Oryctolagus cuniculus: one gene and its partner. The protein of the gene in region 2 interacts with the protein of the main gene of each other region in a biochemical or structural test. Links are inferred from orthologs where the notes say so. Each region holds a gene or a part of one and is shown on either strand. Other genes may lie near its edges.

Region 1 (14,913 bases), on a different chromosome or scaffold from region 2:
GCCTGCAGGACGCTCCTCAGAGCCACCAGTGCCAGATCCCGTGGGTGGAGCGAGCGCAGGTGCAGCTGTCCCACACTCCCCCCGGGTCAGCCCTGCCTGTGGCTGTCTCTGGGGCTACCTGGGGCACCCCTTCCTCTGCTGAGAGAAGGGCTACCAGCTTCCCTTCTGCCTGCCTCCCTGAGGGCGGCCTGGGCGCTTGTTCTGCTTCCAGATTCCCCATGAGGAGAGGCACCCTGTTTTCCACATAGCAGGTCTGGGAGATGCAGGAGCAGCAAGAACCAATCTCTCTGCCCGCTGGTGGCCTGCATGCTCAACTCACGTGGCCCTGTCTCCTTCTGGAGCCCCTGGCTGGGCGCCAGGGGTCTGTAAACCCCCTGGACCAGTCAGCAGGATGCTGTGGGCTTTTCCCTGCCAATTAAGACCTTCATGCAGTGATCAAAGGACCCAGAACACGCAGGAGGACAGTGCCCCGGCCATCTGTGGCCAGCTCACGCCCTCTGAGTCAGCAGCCCCTGATAGGCAGCCACTGCCCCTCGTTGGCCAACTGCTGGCCCTGCACACAGCTGGTGCTCACTCAGAAAGTGCTGGTTCTCTGAAAGCCAAGAACACAGACCCATCCACCAGAGAAGCCCATGCCGGAGGCACTGGCACCTCCCACACCAAGGGCATTCTGATGACAAAAGGCCCAGCGCTGCCCTGCTGCTGATCGGCAGCTCTGGTACATCTGGGGTACGTCCCAGCTCCTGCCCGGGGCCTAGCCTACCCTGCAGGAGCCACAGCCAGCAAAACACACAGGTTATCTGGCAGCCACAGAGAAGACGAGGCTCCAGCCATGCAGCTCTGCATGCAGGCTGCGACTTGTAACATCTGCCCCTGGCACAGGACAGGAGAGTGGGGTGGCACACGAGCCGGGGCATCCACTCTCTCTGAGCTAGATGGAAATATTGGCCCTAAGGGTCAACAGCTGCACTGTCCCCATTCCTGGGTCACCACAGGGTCTGGAAGATGACAGATCCTCGGCTGTGCAAGGGACAGAGCTGCTAGATTTTCCTCCAAGGCTCTGTCAAGAGCCCTGGGAACCACGGATGTCTCCCTTCCTTACCCCCGTACCGGCTCCACCATGCCAAAGCACAGCTGCTGCCTCCGCCATTGCCAAGAGCCCACCCCAGATACACCCCCACTCAGCCAAGAAACGGCGTCTTGCCCAGGCAGCAGACAGACACTTCTGGACTTCCGCTTGGACAACTGGAAGCGAGTCCACAGGCACAACAGCTTCGCTCTGCTTTGGCTCCTGGGGGAAAGGCTGCACCGCATAGCCGTATGTAAGAACTTGGGGAGGGCTGCTAGAGCTTCCTCCTCCTGCCCTAAGGGGGAGCGGCACCCTCTGGGCTCTTAAGGCCTCCTGCAGAGCTGCCCCTGAGAAGGTCCTTGTCCTAAATAAGGGGTCTGGAGACACGGGCTGGGGTCCGAGCTGGCTGTGGCCCACCTATGCTGGCAGATGGTGGTGACCTCTCTTCACCGCGGCAGCCCAGTGGGCAGAGCACCTGCCACAGGGGTCCAGGTGGAAACGGGCTTGGCACAGGCTTGCCCCCAGATCAGGGTACTGTCCAGGTCTCTGCTGCCCAGAGAGGAGCCGCTCGTGGGGAGGTGGACGGCTGCCTCTCTCCCTGGGCGGCTGTCACCAGCACCTCTGCTCCTGGGCCATGCATGCAGAGGCCCAGTGGGCTAGGAGAGGGTCAGAAGAATTCACTCCCGACGGGGACGGCGACACGAACGCCACTCCCGGCGACAGAGGGGACCAAAATGAAATCTCTCTTACCAAACCTGGAGGAGACAAAAAGGAGAGAGAGGGATTATGTTGGCGTGCTGCGTCAGCGTGTTCTAGAACATTCTTCCTGGGAGACAACAGGCAAGGGGCTGGGATGTGGGACTCTGAGGCCTGGCTTGGGGCCAGGCTGCCAAGCGACTGTGGGAACCTCCGCCCGCCCTGTGGGGAGGGACACTGTCTCCACGCAGAGAGCCACAAGGGCCCTGGCTGAGCTTTCCCAGGGGACATGGACATCATACCCTGTGCTGTGCACTTTAATGCACTAGCTTACGCAAGCCCAGCCAGCCAGCATGGTTGCGAGTTTACCCCATTTCACAGCTGAGGAAACGGGCGTGGGACCCACTGGTGGGGCGAACCCAGGATCCAGACAGGAGGAGGGGGCCGTCTGCTGGAGAGGACACAGCTGGGCCAGGAGGGCAGAGAGAACAGCTGTGCGGAGTACAAGGGTGGCCCCACGGGGAGGGTCAGGCAGGGACATGCCCTCAGCGACATCCCGCCTGGGGCTGCACAGTCCCCTGGGGCCCTGGGGGATCAGCCAGGGCAGCAAGGTGGCCTGCGTGTCCCTGTCTGGTGTCACCTGCCCACGGGCCTGTTCTCTGCCTGGAAGGTGGGAGTAAGGCTGCCTGTGCTCTTCTCAGGAGAAGAAGATACAAAGGCATGGGGTGGCCCACGAGGCGTCTCTGACCAGCCCAGACTGTGGTCCACAGCCCCTTCCGGCTGGACCGGGAGTAGCAGGGTGGGTATCCCTGGGTAGCAAGCTCATCACAGCTGCCCAAGTCTCTCCTGGAGTGCGCCCAAGAGCCCGCACCAGGACAGAGGAAATAAGCCCCTGCCACCCAAGGCAGACCTGACCTTGGGAGCCCCCAGAAAAAGGGGTGCTTGTGTCAAGTACCCCAACCCTCAGGGGTACCCACAGGGAAGAACACCCAAAGGAAACACTGTCCTTTCACGTGCTCCCAAACGGTAAACCGACAGAGGTGATCTTTGTAAAAACAACAGTGGCTTAAACGTCCATCACGGGGCCGGCACTGTGGTGCAGCGGGTAAAGCTGCTACCTGTGGTGCCAGAGTCCCATATGGGTGCCAGTTGGAGCCCTGGCTGCTCCACTTCTGATCCAGCTCCCTGTTAATGTGCCTGGGAAAGCAGAAGAGGGTGGCCCAAGTGCTTGGAGCCCTGTACCCATGTGGGAGACCTGGAAGAAGCTCCTGGCTCCTGTTTTCAGATCAGCCTGGCACTGGCCATAGTGGCTTTTTGGGGAGTGAACTAGCAGATGGAAGACCTCTCTGAGTGTCTCTCTCCCTCTGTGATTCTGCCTTTCAAGTCTCACTTGGCGTGTCTGAGTTCAACTCCCAGCCCTGGCTCCCAACTCCAGCTTCCTGCTAATGCAGATCCCACGAGGCAGTAGTGATGGCTCAAGTGACTGGGTTCCTGCCACTCACATGGAAGACCTGGGTTGCATTTCAGGCTTCTGGTTCTGGCCTAGGCCCACCCCAGCGGTCGTGGGCATTTAGGGAGTGAATCAGCAGATGTGAACTCTCCCTCTCCTCCCTCTCTCTGCTTCTCAAATAAATAAGAATAATTAAAATTTTAAAAATAAGGGTTAAGTCACCACTTGCAGTGCCAGCATCCCATATGGGCACTGGCTCGAGTCCCAGCTGCTCTGCTATGGCCTGGGAAAGCAGCGTAAGATAGCCCAGGTGATTGGGCCCCTGCACCCACGTGGGAGGCCCAGAAGAAGCTCCTGGCTTCAGATTGAGCCCTTGGCAGCCATTTGGGGAATGAACCAGCAGATGGAAGACCTCTCTCTGTCCCTCCTCTCTCTCTGGGTAACTCTGCCTTTCAAATAAATAAATACATCTTAAAAAAAAAAAAAAAAAAAAAAAAGAAAGAAAGATGTACTGAGCTGGGAGCTGCCTGGTGTGATGCTGTCACACACGTCAAGGTGAGCACAAGTCACAGGACAGCGTGCACCATACGTGACAGTCATTTGTGGTTTCAGCCAAATATGCCAGCTCTCCCCCTCTGGGTGCACAGGAGGACGGCCCTTGCCAATTCCCTGCCTTGGGTGGGGCCCCGACCAGGGAGTGGAAGGAGGACAGCTGTCCCGCAGAGTCTGTGGGGGCGGGGCCCGGGCCCCCGGCAGAGGCTCCAGTGCCTCAGGCGCAGTGTTCGCTGAGAACCTGTGCACACCGCTTCCGCACACTTGGAATCATCCCGGGTTTCCGGATAGCGCTAACGCAATGCAAAGGCCGTGTAAACAGCTGTTACGCACTACTGCTCGGAATAACGACACAAACCCGTCATCATGTCAGTGCATCACGAGCCTGACTACAGAGGCCACGCGTGACATTGGCAGTGACACAGGACATTGGCAGCGATGCGACAGTTTTTCCCTGAACTTTTCAATCCTGGTGAGTTGACAGCAGGTGTGGAGCTGGCATTCAACCAACAGTGTCCAGGACCTGAATGCCCCATTCCCTCCGCCACAGGGGCCAAGCACATGCCAGAAAGTGGCTCTTTGGCCAGCCTGGGACCTGAGAGAGTCTGACCCACCTGGACAGTGAGAAACAAGTCTTCCTTGTTCTAAGCCCCAGAGCTGTGGGTGCGCTCATTCACGTGGCCTCACCCAGCCTACCCTTTGTGTGTGTGCAGACAGGAACCAGCAGGATTCAGCTCAGCCAGCTAAGGCCGTCAGGGCCTAGTGTGAATGGGGAGTGCCTGTGGCTCCCACACTGCACAGTTCTGTATGGCTGACTTCCTTGTCTTTTGTGCACACTTTCTTTTTTTTTTTTTTTTTTTGACAGGCAGAGTGGACAGTGAGAGAGAGACAGAAAGGTCTTCCTTTTCCATTGGTTCACCCCACAATGGCCGCTGTAGCCAGCGCGCTGCGGCTGGCATACCACGCTGATCTGAAGCCAGGAGCCAGGTGCTTCTCCTGGTCTCCCATGGGGTGCGGGGCCCAAGCACTTGGGCCATCCTCCACTGCACTCCCGGGCCACAGCACAGAGCTGGACTGGAAAAGGAGCAACCGGGACAGAATCCGGCGCCCGGACTGGGACTAGAACCCGGTGTGCTGGTGCCACAGGTGGAGGATTAGCCTATTGAGCTGTGGCACCGGCATTGTACACACTTTCATGATGAGAATGGCAGGCAAAACTCCTGGTGCGGGGCCAGCACTGTGGCACAGTGGGTTAAGCCGCTGCCTGCGATGCCAGCATCCAGTGGAACTGGATGCCAGCATTCCAGTCCTGGCTGCTCCACTTCCTATTCAGCTCCCAGCTAATGCACCTGGGAAGGTAGGTAGATGGACCAAGCACCTGGGTCCCTGCCACCCAAGTGGGGACCTGGATGGAGTTCCTGGCTCATCCCTGGGTGTTGTGGTCATCTGGGGAGTGAACTAGCAGATGGAACACTCTCTCTCTCTCTGTAACTGTGCCCTTCAAATACATAGCATAAATCTTTTTATTTATTTATTTTTTGACAGGCAGAGTGGACAGTGAGAGAGACAGAGAGAAAGGTCTTCCTTTTCTGTTGGTTCACCCCACAAAGGCCACTGTGGCCAGCGCACTGCGCTGATCCGAAGCCAGGAGCCAGGTGCTTCTCCTGGTCTCCCACGCGGGTGCAGGGCCCAAGCTCTTGGGCCATCCTCCACTGCCTTCCCGGGCCACAGCAGAGAGCTGGACTGGAAGAGGAGACTAGACTGGACTAGAACTGGACTAGAACCCAGGGTGCTGGCGCTGCAGGCGGAGGATTAGCCTATTGAGCCGCGGCGCTGGCCCATTGCATAAATTTTATAAAACCTCGTGGTGGCTGCGGCGGGAGCACTCACCGCATGGGGGTGACGTCGTCGATGCGGTTCCCGAGCTGCGACTCGTGGGACTTGCTCCGGGTGAGCGTGGGGAAGCTGGGCAGCAGCTGGAAGACCTTGCGGCTGGGTGGCGGGGGCGTCCGTGGCGGCTTCAGCTTGGCATGCCGGCGCAGCTGGGGCGTGGCGGGTGGCGTGATGAAGCTGTGCAGGGCGCGGGGGGTGAGCCGGCCGCTGGCGTGCAGCGGGAGGCAGGTGTCCGAGAGGCCCTCGCTCAGGCCAGGGGCTGCGGAGTCCGAGGCGGGCAGGGCTGACACGGAGACGGAGCGTGGGCCCTGGGTGCTGCTGCCCCCTCTGCCCAGCTGGGAGCTGCCTGGTGTCCAGGGCAGGCTGGCTGGAGGGAGGGTATCCGTGGAAGGCCCAGAGCCACTTTCCCGCCGAGCATCCACTGAACTCCAGCCCGAGTCCTCTTTGTGCTCTCCTCCTGTGGGTCAAGAAGCTGAGTCGCAGATGGTTGGGGCTGGAACAGGTGAAGGGACTTAGGGTCCAGAGAGGTTAACTGCCTTGTCCAAGGTTGCACAGAGCATCTGTGGAAAGCTTCAGACACCAGCCTGTCCCCGGTTTGTAAGAGCATCTCTCGCGCACATGCAGCATTCACACTCTTGCTGACGGTGAGGCCCCCAGGGCGGGTGCTACTCTGAAATGGGCTTCACAGAGCGGGGAAGGAGGCCCAGGGAGGGAATGGCTTGTGCTGGGCTCCTGCGGGCAGGACTGGGGGTGCAGGCTGGGAAGCCCACCCGAAAGCTGATGACCCCTTTACGGGTTAGGAAAGGGAAGTTGGGTGTGTGAAGGGAAAAGCCTGGGGCAAGAAAATCCAAACAGCAGGAAAGAGGGCTGCCCTGGGCTGCGGAACAAAGATCCAGCCAGAGAGGCTGCAAAGCCATTTTCTTCTGAGAGGTGCCCGTGAGGGGCTTCTGGTTGCCCCCACTGGGAGCTGAGCCCCAGGAGAACCCGAGGTTCCGTGGGGCTCTGTGTCGACGGTGCAATCCGTCCACTGCTCCGTGTGCAGGCTGGGTGCTGGGTGCAAATGCACAAGGCAGACAGACCTGTCTGCTGTGCCCACAGAGGCCCATGGGAGCTCTCAGTGTGTGGAGCACTGGGACAGGGAGACGCGTCTGCTGAGACAGTGGCCTGGGGAGGCTGGGGTCAGGGCTGAGGCAGCTGGGGGTGGGGAGGGGGAAGGGTGTCCCGGGCAGAGGGAGCAGCGTACGCACAGGGAACAGCACGCGGCACCTTCCATCACTACAGAGTGTTCCGTGTGCTTTGCGAGGTCAGGGCAAGGCGGGGACAAGGCTGGAGGGCTCAGGGCGGCACGGCCAGCTCAGGGAGGCTGGTCTGTCTGCTAAGGACTCCGGGTTTGTTCCTGTAGGTCAGGGGAGGGCAACCTTTACTCAGCCACAGGCTGTCTGGGTATTTACATCGGCATTCACGGGCCATATAGAACCATAAACTTAATAGCCAGCCTGCGGTAGACGTGCTGAAGTCCAAGTCCTGCCTGCGGTTGCCTTGGCGGGGCCACGGCGGTGGGGGCGGGCGGTACTAATGGGCGAGCTGCGACAGCAGGAAGGAGAAGACACCCACTCCCTCTCTCAGAATTATCCACACGTAGAGCGAGGAAGGTCAAGGCTGACCCAAAGTGACCTCTGCCCTGGAGGCCTTTACCACGTCCTGCAGAAGCCCTGCCTCCCACAGCCCCCGTGACAGGGGAGGTCACCCACACCACCAAGGTCGGTCAGCAAAGGCAACAGTGGGATGGGAGGTGAACCCCTCAGCCCTGACCACAGCGCTATGCCTCCTCCCATGATGCCATGCGTTCTGAGGAACCCACACTGGGTCAGCTCTGGGTCAGAGGTCAGAGGTGATGAAGCCCCGCCTCCACAGCCTCCCCAAGTCATGAGCTTGGTTTGTACTTTCCCCCAGGTTCATGGCACAGGGAGGCAGGACGGGTCGTCCTGCCTCTGATTTACACTTGAGCTTCTCTACTGGCCTGGGGGAGGCACTGAACACAGGTTTCTTGCTAAGTGGATGAAGAACAGATTCCATGAATCTCTGAGCAAGTCTGCCACCCAGGGAAAGAAGCCCCACATTCTTCAAACAGCCTATTTAATCACTGTTGCTCTGGGCCAGCTCAGGGATGGCAAACAGGTCTTGGTGCACAGGCCAGTGCCAGTCAGTTGGCAGTAGCCACGCTGGAGTCACTCAGTATAAGCATTCACGGATTGATTAGTGATGTCTGCTGTGGGTGAAGGATAGGGAGTATCAGCGGGAATGGTCGTCCCTATGCACCAGCACAAAGAACCATCGCTCACTCACCCTCTAGGACCAGAGACCATAGTGCAAATGGCACCAACATAATCCATCACCCCACAGGCCTAATGTGGGAAAGGGCACCTAAGCTATGGCATGCTCTGGTCTAAACACTTCGCTTCAACCCTGTGCATCTTCACAGCAACCTCATGGGAGAAGTCCACAGAGAGGTTAAGTAACTGGCCGAGGCCCCACGGGTTCCGAGTGGCCTCGGCAGTCTGCTGCCACGGCCCGCCTTCACGGAGCTCAGGCTGCCATCACTGCACCCTGTCTAGGTGCCGTGAAGATGCACCAACAGTGGACCCTAAAGATAGGCATTGCCGGTACCCACCCAGTCCCTAGCAGGTGTCCAGGAAGAATGGCCATGGCTAGGGCAGTCGAAAGGCCTGCACCCTGGCCTGGGATATGGCCAGGACTCTCTTGGGGAGGCAGGGGCCCCAGGAGCTGGCACTGAATGAGGCGGGACCTGGGAAAGGCCCCTCTCCCCAGGCCCTCTGAGGAGGCAACCTGAGTTCAGAGCCCAGCTCTGCCCTGCGCCGGATGTGGGAGCCCAGACCCCTCCGCCAGTGCGCCCCTTGCTCTGCTGCTTCATGCCTCCTCTGTGAAGGGTGTGGCTCCAGCGTGTCATGTGCCAGGCACACGGCAGGTGTTTCCCAACTAAGTGCCCCCTCCCCATCTCGGCATCCGTGGGAGGCAGACGGCGGCCTTCATGACACCGGCAGGTCAGTACCACACGACAGCTGGCTCCTTGAAAACCCCTGCATAAGGGGGATGGGGGTGGGGTCTGAGAGGCGACCCTAGGGGCCTCAGCTCCAGTGACAAATCCTCCTGCCCTCTGCTGCCAGCGGAGCCCGAAGCACAAACCCTGGCTCTGCTACTGACCGCCGTGTGTCCCAAGCCCCTCCCCAGGGCTTCCTCTGTATGGGTGGAGACGAGGATTCTGACCACACCTCTGCCATGTTACACCCAGCACCATACCTCTGCCATGTTACACCCAGCATCTGCAGGGAGGCCCGGCGGGTCACGATTCTCTGAACCTGCACTGAGTTCTGGGTTCAGATGACTCGGGAGGAAGCTAAGCCTCATCTTCCTGGACGGCAGGAACTAAGCAGCACATACACCTCGGTGCTTTCCTGAAGCCCCAGGCAGCCGGGGCTCAGACAAGAGGCTCAGATAATTAAAAACAGGCTAATTCAATTCACGAGGCTCATTTCAATGCGTATCTGCCCGGGGCCTGCAGTGGGAGCATCGGGCAGGCATGCGAAGCTGTTTCCAAGGCAAGATCTAGAAAGCCTGCAAAGAATTCCCCAGCTCCTCGTCCTGCAGCCAGGATTCCATGCCTTGCTGTGCACGCACTCTAAGCATCTCGGCTCAGGCTAAGCCCACATCCACGGTGTCTCTGAGCACAGAGTGCAGCCGGCCGACAAGGGCCGGGGGCTGGAATGCAGGAAGCTGGCGGAGTGTGCACAAAACCCCGCACAGATGCACTCCCCGGAGGGAAGTCACACAGGGCCCTCCCAGTCTGCCGATTTCTAACAATGGCTCAAGTCTTCCCAGGTCCAGACCGGCCAGACCCACTGCGATCCAGAGCCCCAGGACCCTGGGGGGCCTCCCTTTTGGGTCATCAAACACATTCTGAAGGTTCACCCTGGCCTTTCCCAGCTACCCCAGAAACCTGGGGCTGTGGTTGCCCCATCCCAACCCCCACCTAGGCAGGGGCCCGAGCCCCCAGGGGAGCAGGCTGGCCCTGGAGAGAGATGTCCCCTTCATCCCCCCACCCCGTGGAGGCAGGGGACAGGAGGCCAGCAGGCCCCACTTACCCAGGCCCGTGACCTTCCGCAGGCAGGCGAGGGCGTGCTGCAGGCGGCCGCACTCCTCGGGGCTGGCTCCACAGCGCCGCAGCGTCTCCTTCACCTTGGCCTCGTTCATCTCCAGCAGGGCGTCCAGCGTGAGTTCGTGGGGGATCTCCTGTGTGGCACAGAAGGGACAGGAGAGGCCGGTGAGCAGGCAGGCAGGCAGGCCTGGGCGGTGGCCTCAGCCTTCGCCTGGCCTGGGCCAGGGCAGCCTCTTGGCTGAGTGGCAGGGGCCAGCTGCTGGCCGGGCCGGCTCTGCTTGTCTAAGGACACAGGCAGAGAGCTGCCGCCCCCACCCTCCGCAGGCCCAGGACAGCAGCTGACGTGAGCCGAAGGGGCAGGGGGAAGCCAGGAGGGTTTCAACAGGGCGCCCTGCCTCTCCTCTTTTTATTTCTCCACACTGAAAAAGGCGGGTCATGGGGACTTTGTCGAATGACAAGCACTTCCCACAGAGATGGCCCTTGGGAACTCTGTTGTATCTGTGTCAGGAGATGCCAACAAGGGGAGGACAGAAACAGAATAAGCAACCCCCCCCCCCCACCGGCACTGCTCTCAGGTGAGCCTCCACGGAGGAGGCTCAAAGAGGCCATGGCACCTGTACAAGGTCACGCAGGGGCCAGAACTTTCAGGTGCCCAGGTAGGATTAACCCAACCACACGAGCCTGTAAAAGCAGAGGGTCTCCTCTGGGGTGGAGGGAAAGCGTGCGAGCGATGCCATGCCAGCTTTGAAGACACCGCAAGGGCCACAGGAGGAGGCACGTCCATGGCCTCAGCTGACAGGCGGCGAGGAAGCGGGGACCCCAGACCGACAGCTGTGTTGGGGCTCAGAGGACGACACCTCCCCGAAAGGTGGCATTGGGGGGCACATTTGATCCAAAGGAAATTAAAAGTTCCCCAAAGCCGGTTCAGAGTCAAGGTCCCTGTAACCTCGCCTCACCGCTCTCCTCCCAAGTGCAGGAAGAAGTCTCTCTGGGCACGGAGGGACCTGGCCACTCCCCCCCCCACCCCGGGTGATCTCGTTGTCTGTCTCAGGAGAGAGGACAGAAACCAGGCCAAGACCGGCAGGCTCGTCACAGCGTCACAGCGTCAGCTCCCTGGGCTCATTCAAACTCCCAAGGGAACCTTGCCTCAAGCTAACTGCTACCTCTGGGGCCACTGCTTGCCCCCAGTCACTGTTCACAGCCCCCCTACAACTGCTGACCCCCATGCCCCCTCCAGCCCCCAGCCCACAGAGTACATAAGTGGCTGAGTGGTTTGCAGTGGGCTGGTAGTGATGAGATGTGATGGGCTCACGCCCGCAGAAGATCTGTGTATCTCCCGGCTTAGCCAACTCCGCCACCCTTTCCCTTCTCCCCCCAGCTATCCAGACCGCGTCCCATCCACAACCTGGGTGAACATGGAAGTGGCCTCATGAGAGGCAGGGCGGGAAAGCTGGAGGAGCCAGCCTGGAGCCTCCCCGGGGGCTGCAGCTGTGCACGGTGAGCTGTGGCATGCGTGTGCAGTGTCACGGGCCACCACGCTTGTCATGCAGCACCAGAAAAACAATCCCAAGAACAAATGTTTGGCTCAAGGCCCGGCTGACTTGGGTGCTCTCCCCTCACGTCTGGAGGGTGCGCCAAGCCTGACACAGACACAGAGGACAGCAGGACACGGCTCTGGCCTCAGGAGCCTTGCAGCCGGGGCTGGGGTGACACCAAAAGGAGTCCTTGCAATGCGTCCTGACCTGGGCTCAAAGACCTGGGGCATCAGGTCTTCTTTTCCCCTTTTTCTACGCACATTTCCTGGATTCTCCAGGAAGCAAAGGCTGGATGAAATAACCCCTAGCACGTGCATGGTTCTTGAGACTCAAAAGCAATTTTGGGTGAATTTTGGTTAAGTCTGGTGTCATTTGACTTGGAAACGGTAACTCACTGTCAGTCCATTCACAAGGCTGTAAACCTGCACCCGAGCTAGGAGGGCAATGGTGTGGGGGCGGCCACACCCCCTCTTCCCACCAACAGGGCCCCCGGTGGCTGTCTGCATCCTGTGACTGCGGCCTTCGATGTCCCGGCTCGGGCAGGAATCTCACCAGTGTCTAGAATGATCCGCACCAGTATAAGAACCAGACACGTGAAAGTACCAGGAAGTACGCTGCCTGCACACAGCCTCGGCTGTCAGAGATCCTTCTGGATGACAAAGCGAGGACAGGGAGGCTGCTGTGAGGGGCACAGCCCAGACGGCGGCTGGCTACAGAAGGGACACCCCCCACCCCGCCACTCCTTTATGGCCTCAGCAACTCTTCTTCATAGAAAGCCAGTTTCTGGGACCAGGGTCGTGGCGCTGTGGGTTAAGCTGCCGCCTGCAACGCTGGCATCCCGTATGAGCGCTGGTTCGAATCCTGGCTGCTCTGCTTCTGATCCAGCTCTCTCCTAATGTTCCTGGGAAAGCAGCAAGAAGATGGCCCAGATGCTTGGGCCCCTGCACTCCCAAGGGAGACCTAGATGGAGTATGAGGCTCCTGGGTTTGGCCTGGCCCAGCCCCGGCTGTTGCGGCCATTTAGGGAGTAAACCAGCAGATGGAAAATCTCTCTCTCTGTCTCTGCCTGTCAAATAGATGGGTAAATAAATCTTAAACAAACAACACACGTGGGGTCAGCGCTGCAGGGTGGTGAGCGAGGCCATCACCTGCGATGCTGGCATTCCATACTGTGTCCTGGCTGCTCCACTTCCAATCCTGCCCCCCCGCTAATGGCCTGGGAAAGCAGCCAAAGATGGTCCAGGTGCTTGGCCCCTGCCTCCCACATGGGAGACCTGAGTGAAGCTCCTGGCTTTGATCTGGCCCACTGTGGCCATTTGGGGAGTGAACCAGCAGCCAGAGGGTCTCTGTCTCTCCCTCTCTCTCTGTAACTCCAATTTACAGATAAATGAATAATTTTTTTAAAAGGCAGTTTTGATGCCATTTTATGTAAAAGACAACTTGGTCAAAGAGTCAGGGCAAGAACCAAAGCGACCTTCAACTCTCACTGCACAAAGCAGCCCTCCATCTCCCTCTGGGTGGGGGACCCACACACATAGACATGTGCACATAGGTAGACAGAGACACACAGGTAGACACATGCACACAGAAGACATGCGCACATGGGTAAACATGCATACATGGGTAGACACGCTCATGGTAGACATGTGTACACAGGTAGACACGCCCAATGTAGACATGTGTGCGTGAGTAGACATGTGCACATAGGTAGATGCACACACAGGTAGACATGTGCATACAGTAGACGTGTTTACATGGGTAAACATGTGCATACAGTAGACAGTTTACATGGGTAAACATGCATACACAGTAGACATGTCTAAGGTGGACACATGTATATGGGTAGACTTGTGCACACAGGTAGACACACACACAAGTAGACACACACAGATAGACATGTGCACACAGAAGACATATGCACACAGATAAACATGCGCACACAGGTAGACACATCCACAGTAGACACATGTATGTGGGTAGACATGCACACACAGGTAGACACGCACACACATTTTCCCAGGGCAGTTTTCTCACAACAGAAGGTGGTGTCTTGACAGTGCAAGTGGAGAAGCAGGCCCGGGCAACTCAACCCCAATCTAAACAGAGCTTCCCCTCCTTGCTTGCTTCTTCCCTCCTCACTCACACCACGTGTCTGTCTCTCAGGCTGCATTTATTATTACAAACTGTGCCAGCACGACATGCCCAGTGCATTTCAGCTCCCAGCTCTACTCGACACAGTGCAGCCTACTGGCTGCACCCTTAAAGCAGGATAGTCTCGAACCAGGCTCAGGCCTCCTGCTGTGCGGCTTGAAGTCCAGTGGGGCCAGAACCGAAGCCCCTGCGTGTGCCAAACTCCCCCCGCCACGACGACTCCACCCTGCCACTGGGTGACCTGGCACAGCCTTGGGACACATGCAGCAGATACCTTTTGGGGGCAATTCTTTTTTGGAAATAAATGAAAGTGATTAATTTCTATTTACTTCTTGAAAGAAACATCTATTGTAAAACTGAGTGTTCTTTAAGCAAGGGAAGTAATTCCCTGAGGAAGAGAAAGGCAGCACCTGTTCAGAGCCCTTCCCTTATAAAGACCGGGGAGGGGGGGGGCATGTGGCAGAGCAGTGACGACGCTGCTTGTGATGCCCTCACCCTGTAACCCTATGCCACGTGGAGCTGCCTCGTTTGAGTCCCAGCTCCTCTACTCCCATGCAACTTCCTGCTAATGTGCACGCTGAGAAGGCAGCAGGTGTGGCTCAGGCACTTGGGTGCCTGCTGCCATCCACGTGGGAGACCCGGATGGAGCTCCAGACACCTGGCTTTGACCTGGCCCAGCCCTGGCCACTGTGGGCATTTGGGGAGTGAACAAGAAGATGGAAGATCTTTGCCCCCTCTGCCTTTCAAATAAACACACACACAAACATAATTTTAATTTTGTTTAAAGTTTTTTTTTTTTTAATATTTGACAGGCAGAGTGGACAGTGAGAGAGAGAGACAGAGAGAAAGGTCTTCCTTTTGCCGTTGGTTCACCCTCCAATGGCCGCCGCGGTCGGTGTGCTGCGGCCGGCGCACTGCGCTGATCCGAAGGCAGGAGCCAGGTGCTTCTCCTGGTCTCCCATGCGGGTGCAGGGCCCAAGCACTTGGGCCATCCTCCACTGCACTCCCTGGCCACAGCAGAGAGCTGGCCTGGAAGAGGGGCAACCGGGACAGAATCCGGCGCTCCAACTGGGACTAGAACCCGGTGTGCCGGCACCGCAAGGTGAAGGATTAGCCTATTGAGCCACGGTGCCGGCCTGTTTAAAGATTTTATTTATTGATTTGAAAGGCAGCATTACAGACAGAGAGAGGGAGAGACAGAGAGAGGGAGAGACAGAGAGAGAATCTTCCATCTACTGGTTTACTGCCTAAATGGCCACAATAGCTGAAGCTGGGCAGACTCAAAGCCAAGGGCCAGAAGCTGCTTCTAGGTCTCCCACGTGGGTGCAGGGACCCAAGTATTTGGGCCCCTTCCACTGCTTTCCCAGGGTCATTAACAGGGAGCTGGATTGGAA
Region 2 (15,640 bases):
AGTGGCGCTGGGATTCAAACCCCCGCACCCCGATGCAGGATGCCAGGCCACACAACTTCCCCCGTCCTGTGTTTCCCACGACGGTTTTATCCCACCTGTTTGCATGGCTGAGCGCTGCGCCACATGGGCAGCATTTCCGGACTCCGGTCAGTGGGGTCCTGCCGTGTGGAGTCTGAGTTCCACGCAGGGCTGTGCTCCTGAGATCCCGCGGCCCCTGGAGCCAGGGATGCCGCTGTTCCCGCCGCTGAATTGGATTTCTCCGTGAGAGCAAGCTCTGCTCTCTGTTCCTTCCGGTAGTGGACGTTGGGTCGGTTCCAGCGGTTTCTATGACAAACTGCAATGTTATGGTTATTCTTACACGTTCCCTGTACTCCTGTCGAGGTGTTTCTGTAGGATAAATATTTTGGATGGACTTGCTGAGTTGTAAGGGATGCCAAAGTTAACTTTACTTGCAACATTATGTCAAATTGTTTTCCTTCTTTGAAACCATTAAAGGGTGAAGGACAATGCTTTTAAAAACTGTATGCTCGAGGCCAGCACTGTGGCGCAGCAGGTTAACGCCCTGGTCTGCAGTGCCGGCATTCCATATGGGCGCAGGTTCGAATCCTGGCTGCTCCACTTCCTATCCAGCTCTCTGCTATGGCCTGGGAAAGCAGTAGAAGATGGCCCAAGTCTTTGGGCCTCTGCATGCACATGGGAGACCCGGAAGAAGCTCCTGGTTCCTGGCTTCGGATTGGCCCAGCTCTGGGCATTGCGGCCAATTGAGGAGTGAACCAGCAGATGTAAGCCTTTTCGCTCTGTCTCTCTCTCTCACTGTAATTCTAGCTCTCAAATAAATAAACAAAATTTTTAAAAAGAGAGAGAGAGAGACCTGAGGCTTTATTGTTTCTGGAAAACCTGTTATTTCTATTTGGGAGATGTGCTTACTTTAACAGGTTATCCCTAAAGGGATGGGCAGGTGTGAGGCTCTGGGAGGGCCTGGTGGTTCTACTCCCACACTCTGTCCTTCTCCCCATCCTTGTGTTGTCCTCCTGTCTGGCAGCCAGCAAAGCGTCACAGCCACCAGCCTGGGGCATGGTTCTCTGCCCGTGTGCACGTGGGCAAGCCTCCGGCCCTCTGTCCGTGAGCAGCGATGCCCCGTCCCGTCTGTCACCTCCGGCCCTGTGAGTCCGTGAGCAGTGATGCCCCGTCCCGTCTGTTGCCTCCAGCCCTGTGAGTCCGTGAGCAGCGATACCCCGTCCCGTCTGTCGCCTCCGGTCCTCTGTCCGTGAGCGGGGGTGCCCGGTCCCATCTGTTGCCTCTGGCCCTCTGTCTGTGAGCAGCGCTGCCCCGTCCGTCTGTCGCCTCCGGCCCTCTGTCCGTGAGCGGGGGTGCCCGGTCCCATCTGTCGCCTCCGGCCCTCTGTCTGTGAGCAGCGCTGCCCCGTCCGTCTGTCGCCTCTGGCCCTCTGTCTGTGAGCAGCGCTGCCCCGTCCGTCTGTCGCCTCCGGCCCTCTGTCCGTGAGCGGTGATACCCGGTCCCGTCTGCTGCTCAGCTCCCACATCTGCAGCCTCCTCTGCTCCTGCAGCAGAGTCTCCATGACTGATCTGGAGGGAGGAAACCAGGGAGGAGGCTGACCCTGACTTGGTGCCCCATGTGGCTGCAGGAGCCTTGACCTGTGTCTCCAGGCTCCAAGGCCAATGCTCTGCTCCGGGGAAGGGCCTTCCGCTGCAGGGGGGTGACCATCTGCCTCCACAGACGCCCGCGGCAACAGGGAGGGGCCCGCATGGGTTAACCCAGAAGCAGAGCTCTAAGATGGGGCGTGATTGGCACAAACCCATGGCCAGGGTTCAAATCCAGGGTTGAATGTCCAAAGCTCAGAGCAGAGCAGATGAGGGGAGAGGGCTGGCTACAGGGAAGCTACTCATGGCGCCCCTGGACCCCTAAGGTCACGCATGTGCATCTAAGGCCGGATCTGGGTCTCGGTACCTTCTCTGCCGCAGGTGCCAGAGCCAGGGCCCCAAACCACCTCCATGTTGCAGCAAAGTGTGGAACCAACCGAAGGATAACTCCACGTTGTGGTTGTGGAGCCTAGATCTGCCTGGGAGCTCTCTCTCCAGGGGATCGTGAAAGCCCAGCCCTTGGGGCAGCCAGGACAGAGCGCTGGCACTGGGCAGCCAGAAGGCCCACACTTCCTCAGAACAGAAGGCACTGGCGGCCATCGGGCGCCTGCAGGCCGAGCTTCAGCCTCTCCCTTTCTTTTCTTTCTTTCTTTCTTTCTTTTTTTTTTTTTTTTTTTTTTTTGACAGGCAGAGTGGACAGTGAGAGAGAGAGACAGAGAGAAAGGTCTTCCTTTGCCGTTGGTTCACCCTCCAATGGCCGCCGCGGCCAGTGCGCTGCGGCCAGCGCACCGCGCTGATCCAATAGCAGGAGCCAGGAGCCAGGTGCTTTTCCTGGTCTCCCATGGGGTGCAGGGCCCAAGCATCTGGGCCATCCTCCACTGCACTCCCGGGCCACAGCAGAGAGCTGTCCTAGAAGAGGGGCAACCGGGACAGAATCCGGCGCCCTGACCGGGACTAAAACCCGGTGTGCCAGCGCCGCAAGGCGGAGGATTAGCCTAGTGAGCCGCGGCGCCGGCGCCTCTCCCTTTCTTGCTGGCAACACGGAGCCAGGCACAGTTTGTCTCCCAGTCGTGGTCCTCCTGCCCCTAGCATATCCATCGACAGGTCTTCCCGGGCTGCTGGAGAGTTGCCAAGTATACAGCTGGAGTTCAGCACATGTGCTGTGGCCCCAGGCTGTGGAAGTCAAGGGTGTTGGGGTGGTGGCGGGGAGCTCCCTGGGGGTGGTCGGGGAAGGCTCTGCAGGACGAGGGAGCAGCAGGAACCAGGCACTGACGTGAGCAACAGCGGCCCTTCGGGGTAAAGCAGGCAGCTGGAGCGGGGAATTAAAAAGCAACAGGCCAGCCCTGACCCCGCATGCTGAGGAGAGTCTGGAACAGACTTCGTGTTTCCCCCGCCTCCAGGCCTTGGCGCTCCAGCCCGCGTCCTTCCCCTGCCCCAGGCCCTGGGTGCTCGCTGAGTAACACAACACTCGGGACACGCCGCGCTGGGAGACACACAACCCGGCTGTACCGACTTCCACAGCGGGGGCTTCTTTCTCTGCCACAGGCAGGCTCACGGCCAGCACAGGCCCTCAGGAACCCCAGCAGGGACGCCCCCTCCTCCTCTGGTGCTGGGCTGGGAGCTGGAGCGGATCCGCGTGGGATCATGTGGCGACACCGGCTGGCGGGGAAGAAGGCCCGGGGTTGGGGCTTGGAGACTGGGGTCCCCATCCTCGCCCTGCTGCTAACGAGCTGCGTGAATTAGTCACTTTGTCTCCTTACTCTTTTTCATGTTTATTTATCCACTTTCATCTGCTTGAAAGGCAGAGAGAGAGAGAGAAACAGACTCACAGAGAGAGACATCTTCCCTCCTGTAGTTCACTCCCCAAACGGTTGCAACAGCCAGGACCAGATCAGGCCTAAGCCAGGGGCCATGAACTTCATCTGGGTCTCCCACGTGGCTGGCAGGGGCCTAAGCACTTGAGCCACCGTCGGCGCCTCCCAGGACGCATTGGCAGGAGGCTGGATTGCAAGTGGTGGACCAGGAAGCATTGGCAGGAGGCTGGATTGCAAGTGGTGGACCAGGACGCATTGGCAGGAGGCTGGATTGCAAGTGGTGGACCTGCAACTCTAATTAGGCACAGGCAACCGAGCAACAGCTCAACCTGCCCCCTCTTCATCTCGTGATAAAGATGGCGGTGAAGTGTACCTACCATAAAGCTGAACCATCTCAACCACTGTGAAGCACATTCGCGCGCGTCTGCCCCATCTTCACCACCCAGCTCCAGAACTTTCTCCCCCCGGCCCCTGTTAACCGCTATCCCACTGCAGTCTCTGTCTTACAACTCCAGGTAACTCACAGAGCTAGGGCCACACAGTATTTGCACTTCTGTGTCTCATGTAGTTCCCTTGACATAATGTCCTCAAGGCCACCCATGGTCCTTTTAAAGGCTGGACAGTATCCCACTGTATGGGCTTACCACACTTTGCTCCTCCATTCACTCAACGATGGGCACATGGTTTGCTTCCACGTTTCAGCTACTCTAAATAGTGCTGCCATGAATGTTGATGAACAAATATTTCTGTAAGATCCTGCTTTCTTTCTTTTGGGTATCTACCCAGAATTGGAATCATTGGGTCATATGTTTTTTTTTTTTTTTTTTTTGACAGGCAGAGTGGACAGTGAGAGAGAGAGACAGAGAGAAAGGTCTTCCTTTTGCCATTGGTTCACCCTCCAATGGCCGCTGCGGCTGGCGTGCTGCGGCCGGCGCACCGCGCTGATCCGATGGCAGGAGCCAGGTACTTATCCTGGTCTCCCATGGGATATAGGGCCCAAGTACTTGGGCCATCCTCCACTGCACTCCTGGGCCACAGCAGAGAGCTGTCCTGGAAGAGGGGCAACCGGGAAAGAATCCGGAGCCCCGACCGGGACTAGAATCCGGTATGCTGGTGCCGCAAGGCGGAGGATTAGCCTAATGAGCCGCAGCGCCGGCCATGGTAATTCTCATTTTTTCCAAAATCACCACAGCTTTCCACAACAGTTGCACCATTTTACATTTCCACCAACACTGCACAAAAATTATAATTTCTCAGCTGGCGCCGCAGCTCACTTGGCTAATCTCACTCCACCTGTGGTGCCGGCACCCCGGGTTCTAGTCCCAGTTGGGGCACCAGATTCTGTCCTGGTTGCTCCTCTTCCAGTCCAGCTCTCTGCTGTGGCCTGGGAGTGCAGTGGAGGATGGCCCAGGTCCTTGGGCCCTGCACCCACATGGGAGACCAGGAGGAAGCACCTGGCTCCTGGCTTTGGATCAGCGCAGTGCGCCGGCCACAATGCTTCAGCTGTAGCAGCCACTTGTGGGGTGAACCAATGGAAAAAGGAAGACCTTTCTCTCTGTCTCTCTCTCTCACTGTCTAACTCTGCCTGTCAAAAAAAAAATTTCTCCATATTTTTTTTCTGTAAAACAATTTATATATTTATTTATTAAGCCTTTTTTTTGAAAGTCAGAGTTACACAGAGAGAGACAGAGAGGTCGGTCTTCCATCTGCTGGTCTACTCCCCAATTGGCTGGAATGGTCAGAGCAGTGCCGATCTGAAGCCAGGAGCCAGTAGCTCCTTCTGGGTCTCCCACGTAGGTGCAGGGACCCAAGGACTTGGGCCATCTTCTACTGCTTTCCCAGGCAATAGCAGAGAGCTGGAGCAGAAGAGCAGCAGCCGGGCCTCGAACCAGTGTCCATATGAGATGCCAGCACTGCAGGTGGCAGCTTTACCTGCTGTGCCACAGCACTGGCCCCAATGTTTATTTGAAAGGCAGAGAGAGAGAGAGAGAGAGAGAGAGATCTTCTATCTGCTGGTTTACTCTCCAAATGGCTACAATTACCAGGACTGGGCCAGGTCAAAGCCAGGAGCCTGAACCTCAATCCAGGTCTCCTATGTGGGTGGCAGGGCCACAAGCACTTGGGCCACTACTGCTACTTCCTAGTGTCTACACTAGTGGAAGCTGGAATCAGCAGCTGGACCCAGGAATCCAACCCAGGCAAGCGTCTTAACCACTAGGCTGACCTCTCCCTATTTTCTGGGTTTCTGATGGTGGCCATCCCAGGGGCCTTGAGGTGGCCACTGTCATCATCAACATCATTGCCAGCTTCCGATGTGTCTCAGTGGCCTCCTGCTTGCCATGAAGATAACCACAGTGGGCCCTCCCTACCTGTGGGCTTTGCAACCACGGACCCAAATGACCGTTTGTGAAAAATAGTAAATAAATAAACACAATCACGGGGTGGGCGTTTGGCTTAGCAGCGAAGACGCCTGCCAGCTGCATTGCACAGTATCTGGGCTTGATACCGACGCCAGCTCCCTATGGGGGCAGATGCTGGAAGCAGGGATGATGGCTCAAGTACCTGGGCTCCTGCCGCCTGCATGGGAGACCTGGCTCCCAGCTTCAGCTTGGCCCAGTCCTGGCCATTGTAGCATCTGGAGTGCGGCTCTCTCTCTTGCTCTCTCTCTCTCTGCCTCTTGGATAAATAAATTTAAAAACATGTCTTTTCAAAGTTGCGTCTGCACTGGAAGTCCTCAGACTTTCTAGTCACTATTCCCGGAACAACATAGCGTAGCCACTATTTAAATCACATTCACATTGTATAGGTAACTGGGTGATGATTTCACGTACACTGGAGGACGTGTGTGAGTTGTTTGCCAACTTCACACTGTCTTCTTTGAGGGACTTGAGCAGCTAAGGATTCGGGTAAGAGAACTGGTGCCCTGCAGGTGCTGAGGGAAAACTGTGCTGCCAACGCACGCACACAGCTTGGTATATTTAGTTGTATCTTTCACGTTTCAGGAGCTGAAGATGGGAACTGTCTGACTATGAAGACAGGAAACAAAGAACATGAAATGGGATGGAAGAACACATTCCAAAGACAACTTCCAGATCTCGCCCTTCTCTGTGTGTGTGTGTGTGTGTGTGTTTTCCTGACTGCAGATGCACACAGCTGAGGGTCTCCGAGCGTTCTTTGGACAGAACAATGCTTTGCCTCCCTCCCCCACCTCTTTCTGTTCTTCATGTAACACACCCACCTTGCCTCCCACATCAAGACCCTTATGGTGTCATGACGTCATCTGACATCAGTGCCACGAAGAGTTCCAGGTGCTTCTTTAATTCTAGCCTTCAGCAAAACCAACATCATGAGTTGGGTGCTGTCATCTTCGTTTTCTGACTCCGGGCGTTCACTGACTCATTTCTCAGTGAGAAAAGCAACTGGGTGGCACCCTCATCCCCGCCCCCCCTCCCCGGTCAACGGCGAATGCTGTGAATCACCCCACGCTGTCTCTCAGCTCCGGCCCGAGGCTGAACTTCTCGGGGTGTTTTCCTGCCGTCGTTGGGAGCAGACACAGAGCCAGGTGCTGTGCTGAGTCTAGGCCCTGCTCTTCCAGTCTCACCTCTCCAACCTCTGCAGCCCTGGCTGGATCGGCCTTCTGCCTGGACTGTCCTTTGCACCCTCCTTACCTGGCTAACTCTGCCGCTGCTTTTAGGCTCAGCGTAAACGTTCTCTTCTCCTGGAAGCCTTCTCTGACTCAACCCCCAAGTTGGGCTAACAACACTTGTGCTCACCCCAATCTTATCATATAACCCACATTTTGGTTGAACCGTGTCAGGCACACATTTAATTCTTGGGAATTCCACATCTCCCCTTGGCCAAAGAAAGAACGGTGACAACATTCCATATAGGGATACCCTGGACCCCTCTAGCATTGTCCTGGAAGGGTGACATGGGAGCCCTGGCAGTATCCTAGTCCGCAGGTGTTTGTATACTGGGAGCATCTGGCTTCTCTGGGAGTGATTACGGTGTTTAAAGATATATATGTTCTGGGGATGGCACTGTGGCATACCGGGTAAAGCCACTGCCTGCAGTGCCAGCATCCCATATAGGTGCTGGTTCGAGTCCCAGCTGATCCACTTCCCTGCTATGGCCTGGGAAAGCAGCAGCAGACAGTCCAAGTCCTTGGGCCCCTGCACCCGTGTGGGAGACCTGGAGCAAGCTCCTGGCTCCTGGCTTTGGATTAGAGCAGCTCCAGCCGTTGCGGCCATCTGGGGAGTGGACCAGCAGATGGAAGCCTCTCTCTCTGCCTCTCTCTATCTCTTTCTTTCAAAAAAATAAATAAATCTTAAAAAAAAAAAGTATATGTTTCACGGAGCAGAAAATGCTGGCAAGATGGCCTCCCCCACCCCCTCCAAAATCGGAAGAAACAAGCAATCCACACCCACCCTACATTTCGCTTATCTGTTATTACCAGAGTTTTAGGAACAGGGTTCAAATCGAGGCTCCTTTGGTAACCAACCTGTCCCCGGGTGACATGGTGCATCTGCCCTGAGGCTTAAATGAGGTAGCTGGTGCAATGTCCCCCCCCCCCCCAGCCTCTCGAGAACGGTTTATGTGACCCAGCCTGGTCGCAAGGGCACCCAAGGCCCAGGGGAGGCGGCATTTCCAGTGTTCCTGCCGCAGGGGGCTACTGAGCCACACCTGCAGCTGGTCCTGGTTAGAGACCCCCTAGAGGCATTAAGAACTGGTCCCTAGGGGACCGATCCCCTCCCCTGCCTGCCCCCCTAGTCGCACTCCCCCTTCCAGGTGGCATTTGGCTGGGTCCAAGTCAGACCCTCCTGATGGCCAGGCAGGCAGACCCGCAAGCAAGTTGGGTGTGTGCACGCCCGACGCCCGGGTCGCAGCGGCTCGTGCTGGAGCCGCGCGCCCACCTGCAGCCCCGACCCTGCGGATCCACCCACCCCACGTAGCGTTGTCCCCGGGAGGCGAGCTCGGTGTTTGCACACAGTAGGCGCCCGATCTGTAATCCAAGAAAGCCAGATCTGTAGTCCGTAAGCGCCAACGCCGCCGCGCAGGGATGCCCGACTGTGGGAACCCGGCGCCCCCGGAGCCAGCGGAGACCCGGCGCCGCCCACCTCGCGCCCTACCTGTCGGGCCGAGTCGCCCCTAGCAACAGCAGCCCGCCCGGGCCGCTCCCGCCGCTCTGATTGGCCGGCCTCCGGGAGGCGGCGGCGGCGTCACTTCCGGCAGCCGGAGACAGCAGAGGAAGCCGAGTGGCGGCCATCTTGGGTCCGTGAGGCTCTGAGGTGCCGGGAGCGGCGGCGGCGGCGGCCAGCAGGGCGGAGGCTGAGGCGAAAAGCGAGCGGGAGAGAGGAAAGCAGCCGGGCGCAGGCGCCTCCGCCGCAGCCCCCTCCATGGTCGGCGCCCGCAGCCCGCGGCGGCCTGTCTTGCGTTCCACCTTCTCCACATCCTCTTCCGCCTCCTCCTCAGGGGCTGCCGGCGGCGCTGTGTGGAGGCCCCGGAGCTGAAACCCGGGGCGCAACGGGCGCGAGCGGAGGCGGAGGAGGCCAGGCGGCCCGGGCCCGCGGCGTGCGCTGAGGCGCGGGGCCGCCGCCGCCGCCGGGCTCCTCGCCGCGGCCGCCCGGGCAGGGGAGGATGAGCCCCGGGAGCCGCCGGGGCACGGCCCGGGCCAGGCCCGGGATCTAGGCGGCCGCGGGGGGAGGGGCCGCGCGCCGGCTTCCTGGGCTGTGCCGTTTTGTTCTCGCCCGCGCCCTGTGCGAACCCGAGCGCAGTAAAATGTCCACTCGGACTCCGCTGCCCACGGTGAATGAACGAGACACTGAAAACGTGAGTAGCCGGGGCCTGTCGGCGGCGGGCGTGTCCTCCCGGCCGTGCCGGCCCCAGCGAGGTCCGGGCGCTCGCCCGGCCGGGTGGGCTCTCCTCTCCAGTTGGGCGGGCGGCTCTGTCCGCTGGTGCTGATTCAGGGCGCTCGGAGGGGTCACGTGCACCGTCCTTTCTGCGGGCGGAACCGGGCGTTAGTGGCTGACAGTCGCCGGAACTCGGGGTCCCGCCTCGACCCCGGAGAGGTGTGCAGAGCGCGCAGCCTTTGCCCGGCGCGGGCTGCGTCCCCGCGAGGCCGCAGTGGCCGGGGACACCGCTTTCCGCCCCCCGCGGAGGAGGTGCGCTGAGACGAGCGGCCCGCACCTCCTGGAGGAACCTTGGCTTTGCTGCTTGTGCCCCTTTTGTAAAAGGCCGGGGGTGGGGGCCGCGCTGCTGGGCTGCGCCCTGCGCGGGTCTGCCCCTGCGCCGCAACCGCGAGAGCCAGTAACTGGCAAAGCAACTTCGGGGGCCTTTCAGGGTGCGTGTTAGCAGGTGATTGCTGGCCAGAAAATGCCAGCTCTTAGGAGAACTTTTCTTGCTCTGCGTGTTTTCATCCCTTCGGTAACGTCCCGAGACGTTGTGGCCCAGACATATCAAGTGCCTTCACTTTAGTTGTTTGCCGGCCGGCTGGCTGGTATTTTCACCTGTTTACGTAAGCCTCCGTCTCGAGCATCCCTGCGCCCCAGCATTACACACATAGGAGAGCGGTAGGCGTCCGCCACCTGAGATGGGCTAGAGAACTACGTAGAAAGTGAGTGGTAGGAAACCTTAGACTCTGCGAGTCAGTGAGCTCCTTCTCTTATAGTGCTTTTGAAGAAAACCGTTTCTGACCCAGACCTGACCACTTCCCACTCTTTACTACCCTGAAGGAAGGAGCAAGGAACAAAAGTGAGGCGATCAGCTTTGATTATGGATCTTCACTCAGAAGCAAAACCTTACCTTGAACCAGAGCAAGAGCTTCACACTTTGTAAACTGCAGCCAAACAGCAGATTTGTGATAATGAAGGCTTTCAAATAGGTCGTCTTTTAATACATATTTTAATAGGGAAGAAATAGGCCATTTTTACTCATGAATGCATGATTTAGGTGGTGAATATTTGTGATGTTGGTGAATGACTTGGCTCGTTCTTCAGTTGTTATTTGAGTAATTTGTTGAACTATTTTGTAGATTTTTTTTGTGTTAGAAATTACTAACTGTTGGGGCTGGTGCCGTGGCATAGTGGATTAAACCTTCTCCTTGCGGTGCCTGAATCCCATATGGGCACTGGTTTGTGTTCCAGCTGCTCCTCTTCCAGTTCAGCTCTCTGCTGATGGTCTGGGAAAGTTGTGGAAAGATGACCCAAGTGCTTGGGCCCCTGCACCTATGTGGGCGATCTAGGGGAGGCTCCTGTCTTCTGCCCAGCTCCGGTCATTGTGGCCATTTGGGTAGAGAACAAGTGGATAGAGGACCTTTCTCACTCTCCCTCTGTCTGTAACTCTGCCTCTCAAGTAAATAAATAATCTTTAAAAAGAAAATTAATTACTAACTTTTTAAAAAGCTCCTGGGGATGTGGAGGACGTTTCTTCTTCTTTTATTTACAAGTCAGATGTACAGACAGAGGGGGAGCAGAGAGAGATCTTTCCTCCACTGGTTCACTCCCCAAATGGCCCCAGTGGCCAGGCCTGGGCCAGGCTGAAGCCAAGGGCTAGGATCTGGTTCTGCTGTGTGGGTGGCAGGGGTCCAAGTCTTAGCCCATCTTCTGCTGCTCTCCCAGGCACATCAATAGGGAGTTAGAGCCAAAGGGGGTGGCCGGGACTAGAACCAGCACCCATATGGGATCACTGCGCTGCAGATGGCGGCTTAACTAGCTGTGCCACAGTGCCAGTCCCAGGCCTTTTCTTTATTCTCGTGTAATGTACTTAAAATAGAATTTTTAGCATTGTTAAAATCAAAGGTTTATAGCTCATCATTCATTAATCCACCATACTGTCATGTGTTTTGTTTTAATACTTACTTTTTAGAATTTATTCACTAATACATATTTAAGTCAGGGAGACAGGCAGATTTCCCATCTGCTGGTTCAGGGCTACGCTGGGCCAGGCTGAAGCCAGTAGCTAGGAACTCAATCCAAGTCTCCCACATAGGTGTTAAGGACCCAAGTGCTTGAGCCATCACCTGCTGTCTCCCAGGATGCGCATTAGCAGGAAGCTGGAAATGGGAGAGGAGCTGAGATTGGAACCCAGCGACTAGGGTTTGGGATGAGGGCATCTGAACTGGCATGCCAAATGCTGCACTGGAGTCCATTTTTAACTTCCGTGTTGGCATGTTCTGGCGGTGGAGTACCTTTGTGTCAGTGTTCGGCCTCAGATTCTGATTGACCGTATGCCGTGTTATTTACTTAATGTTCTCGTGCTGCTAAGCATTAGACTTCTTGCTCCTCAAGTGATGAGTATACAAGAGTGGGAGCTCTGTGTTGAGAAGCTCTTTTGTTGAAGTCAGGTTTATACTTCTTGTGTGTAGCTTGATGAGTTTGACAAATGTATATTCGTGTAACCACCATCATAATCAAGATCTAGAACATTTGCAACTTCAGAAAGGTCGCTTGTGGCCCTTGGCAGTGGATCTTCTCTCCCTTACCCCAGCTCCAGCAACTACTGATCTGTTTTTCTGCCTCTATAGTTTTTTCCTTTTCTAGAATGTTTGTAAACAGAGTCTCAGAGAATACAATCTTGTGTCTGATTTCATGCACTTAATACTTTTTGGATTTATTTGTGTTTTCTTGTGTATATAGTTCATTCCCTTTTATTGCTAAGTAGTATTTCATTGTTTAGATGTAGCCAACTTTGGTATCCATTCACCAGTTGAGGGACATTTTGGCTATGATTACTAAAACAGCTTTGTTCTTCTGTTATGTCAAAAGACCTTAGATTTTGCTTATTTTAGGAAAATCGTGTTTAAATTTTTAATGTATGTAATTATGACAAGAATGTTGCTTATTAGGTTAAGAATAGTAAAAGGTAGCTTGTACACTATTTTTCACTTGATTTTTCAAATGTTAAGATTCACTGTTAGTGGATAGGTAAAAGTTAGAGATAGGCAAAATTAGAGAGAGACAGAGAGAAAGGTCTTCTTTTTTTCTGTTGGTTCACCCCCAAATGGCTGCTGTGGCTGGTGCGCTATGCCAATCTGAAGCCAGGAGCCAGGTGCTTCCTCCTGGTCTCCCATGTGGGTGCAGGGCCCAAGCACTTGGGCCATCCTCCACTGCCTTCCTGGGCCACAGCAGAGAGCTGGACTGGAAGAGGAGCAACTGGGACAGAATCGGCGCCCCAACCGGGACTAGAACCCGGGGTGCCGGCACCGCAGCTCACTTGGCTAATCCTCTGCCTGCCGCGGCACCACCCATAAGAGTTCGTTTTTATCACATTGCTGGCTGCTCTGCTTCTGATCCATCTCCCTGCTAATGTGCATTTTGGGGCAGCAGATCATGGTCCAAGTACTTGAATCCCTGCCACCCCCTTTTTTTTTTTTTTTTTTTGACAGGCAGAGTTAGACAGTGAGAGAAAGGTCTTCCTATTTCCGTAGGTTCACCCCGCAAGTGGTCACTACAGCTGGCGCATTGCGGCTGGGCGCGTTGCGCCAATCCGAAGCCAGGAGCCAGGTGCTTCCTCCTGGTCTCCCATGCGGGTGCAGGGCCCAAGGTCCTGGGCCATTCTCCGCTGCACTCCTGAGCCACAGCAGAGAGCTGGACTGGAAGAGTAGCAACTGGGACAGAATCCGGCGCCCCAACCAGGACTAGAACCCGGGGTGCTGGTACTGCAGGCGGAGGATTAGCCTAGTGAGCTGCGGCGCCAACCATCCCTGCCACCCATTTGAGAGACCTGTTTGGAGTTCTAGGCTTCAGCCTGTCCTAGCCCTTGCTGTTGCATGTATTGGGGAGTGAACCTACAGATGAAGGTCTCTCTCTCACTCTCTGTTTTCCCTTTCAAATAAATATTTAAAATATTTTTGAAAAGGCTTGTTATGGAAAATTTCAAATAGGTAGAATGGAATTTATTGATGATTTTGTCCTCCAGGGACATTTGACAATGTCTAGAAACATTTTTAGTTGTCACAACTAGAGGAAGTGGGAGTTACTGGTCACTAGTCATGCCGCTCACGTTTTGCAATACATAAGACAACTTCCCCCGTCACTGAGAAGTATCTATTCCCAAATGTCAATAGGGCTGGAATTGGGAAACCTTGGTATGCAGCGAGCCCCCCATTCTCAGCATCTCATTGGTCAGTCTCATTCCCTCAGGAATCAAATTCAATACATCATATCATTTCATCTCAAAAGCTTTTAGAAGAAATGAGCCTCCTTTTAAAGAACATGTAATTAATATCTTTATTACATTTTTCTTTCCTTTTTTTTTTTTGGAGATTTATTTGAGAGGTAGAGTTATAGAGAGAGGCAGAGGCAGAGAGAGAAAAGTTTTCCATCCTCTGGTTCACTCCGCAGGTGGCTTCAACAGCCAGAGCTGAGCCGATCGAAAGTCAGGAGCCAGGAGCTTTTTCTGGGTGTCCCACGTGGTTGCAGGGGCCCAAACACTTGGGGCATCTTCTACTACTTTTTCAGGACATAGCAGAGAGCTGGGTCGGAAGAGTAACAGCCGGGACACTAACTGGCACCCATACGAATTCTGGCGCCGCAGGCGGAGGCTCAGCCCACTATGCCACAGAGCCGGCTCCTATCATGTTTTCTTAATATCAGATACACAGTGTCCAAATTTCCTCAGTTGTCTAAATTTTAATCTGTTTTCAGATTAGATTCCAACTTAAATCTACACATTACAGGTGACTAATGCATAAAATAACATTTTTTTTTTTTTAAAAGAATTTATTTGAAAGGCAGAGTTAGGGGGGGAGAGAGAGAGAGTGAGTGAGTGAGTTAGTCTTTGATTTTCTGGTTCACTCCCCAAATGGCTGCAACAGCTGGGGCTGGTCCAGGCTGAAGTCAGGAGCCTGGAAAGTCCTATGCCATGACATTGGCCCCTAAAATAAAATTCTTTTATAGAGCAACAAGAAACTTTTTTTTTTAATATGTTCTATAGTTGACTTGAATAGAGCCACAAACAAATCCTGTTTCTATTCTGGCAAAATTAGAAACATTGAAAAAAATTATCTGGGGGAAAGAGAGAACTCCTGGGGCTTTACTCCCCAAATTCCCACAAAGGCTGGGCCTGGGCCAGGCCAGAGCTGGAAACCAGGAACCCAATCCAATTCGCTGACTTGAGTCATCAGCACGCACTGGTGGGAAGCTGGAGGTAGGAGCTTAAGGTGGGAATTGAGCTCGGATAGTCTGATATGGGATGCTAGTGTCTTAACTGCTAGGTTGAGTACCTACTTATAGAAATACATTTTTTACGGCCGGCGCCGCGGCTCACTAGGCTAATCCTCCGCCTAGCGGCGCCGGCACACCGGGTTCTAGTCCCGGTCGGGGCGCCGGATTCTGTCCCGGTTGCCCCTCTTCCAGGCCAGCCCTCTGCTGTGGCCAGGGAGTGCAGTGGAGGATGGCCCAGGTGCTTGGGCCCTGCACCCCATGGGAGACCAGGAAAAGCACCTGGCTCCTGGCTCCTGCCATCGGATCAGCGCGGTGCGCCGGCCGCAGCGCGCTGGCCGCGGCGGCCATTGGAGGGTGAACCAACGGCAAAGGAAGACCTTTCTCTCTGTCTCTCTCTCTCACTGTCCACTCTGCCTGTCAAAAAAAAAAAAAAAAAAATACATTTTTTACTTTTAAAGCATACAAGTCTATAATCCTGGGTTTTTGCCAAAGTACTAAAGGCTCTAGGACTGAGTTATTTAACAGCCTCTAGTGTGTGTGTATCATATACTGAGTAGTTAATCCAAATAATCATCAAGTTTTCCTAACTTTGTGAAACAGATAAACTGATGGTATTGTAGCCTAGTCAACTGTTTGTTTAGGTGAGACTGAATTCACCTGTTAAGCAAATTAGAGTGCCTGTTATGAATATGACAGTTTTAGGTGCTCTGGAGGATATAAGAGAGATCTTCAAAAAGTTATTGAAAAATACATTTTATAGAAAGAGTGTGCCTTGTATGTGTGGACGTCAATTGTTTTGCACAAAATAAACATTTTAAAAAAAGATTTATTTAATATTTATTTGAAAGAATTACATAGAAGGAGAGGCAGAGAGGGAGAGAGGTCTTTTCATCCACTGTTTCACTCCCCAATTGGCCACAATGTTCGGAGCTTTTTCTTCTTCTTCTTTTTTTTTTTTTTTTGACAGGCAGAGTGGACAGTGAGAGAGAGAGACAGAGAGAAAGGTCTTCCTTTGCCGTTGGTTCACCCTCCAATGGCCGCTGCAGCTGGCACGCTGCAACCA

Evidence for each region.
Region 1: of the proteins of MARK3 (region 2) and KSR1, one has a biochemical effect on the other in vitro, tested with the Homo sapiens proteins (2 studies listed by BioGRID). The link is inferred for Oryctolagus cuniculus from reciprocal best matches to the Homo sapiens genes MARK3 and KSR1.

Annotation. Positions count from the first base shown.
Region 1 is NC_091448.1:43,308,948-43,323,860, reverse strand, and holds part of KSR1 (kinase suppressor of Ras 1), read right to left. Parts: intron 9,969-14,913; coding exon 9,821-9,968; intron 6,118-9,820; coding exon 5,658-6,117; intron 1,825-5,657; coding exon 1,820-1,824; intron 1,719-1,819; exon of another isoform or gene 1-1,718.
Region 2 is NC_091451.1:46,234,727-46,250,366, forward strand, and holds the start of MARK3 (MAP/microtubule affinity-regulating kinase 3), read left to right. Parts: upstream 1-8,661; 5' UTR 8,662-9,193; coding exon 9,194-9,244; intron 9,245-15,640. UniProt on the Homo sapiens protein: Serine/threonine-protein kinase. Involved in the specific phosphorylation of microtubule-associated proteins for MAP2 and MAP4. Phosphorylates the microtubule-associated protein MAPT/TAU. Phosphorylates CDC25C on 'Ser-216'.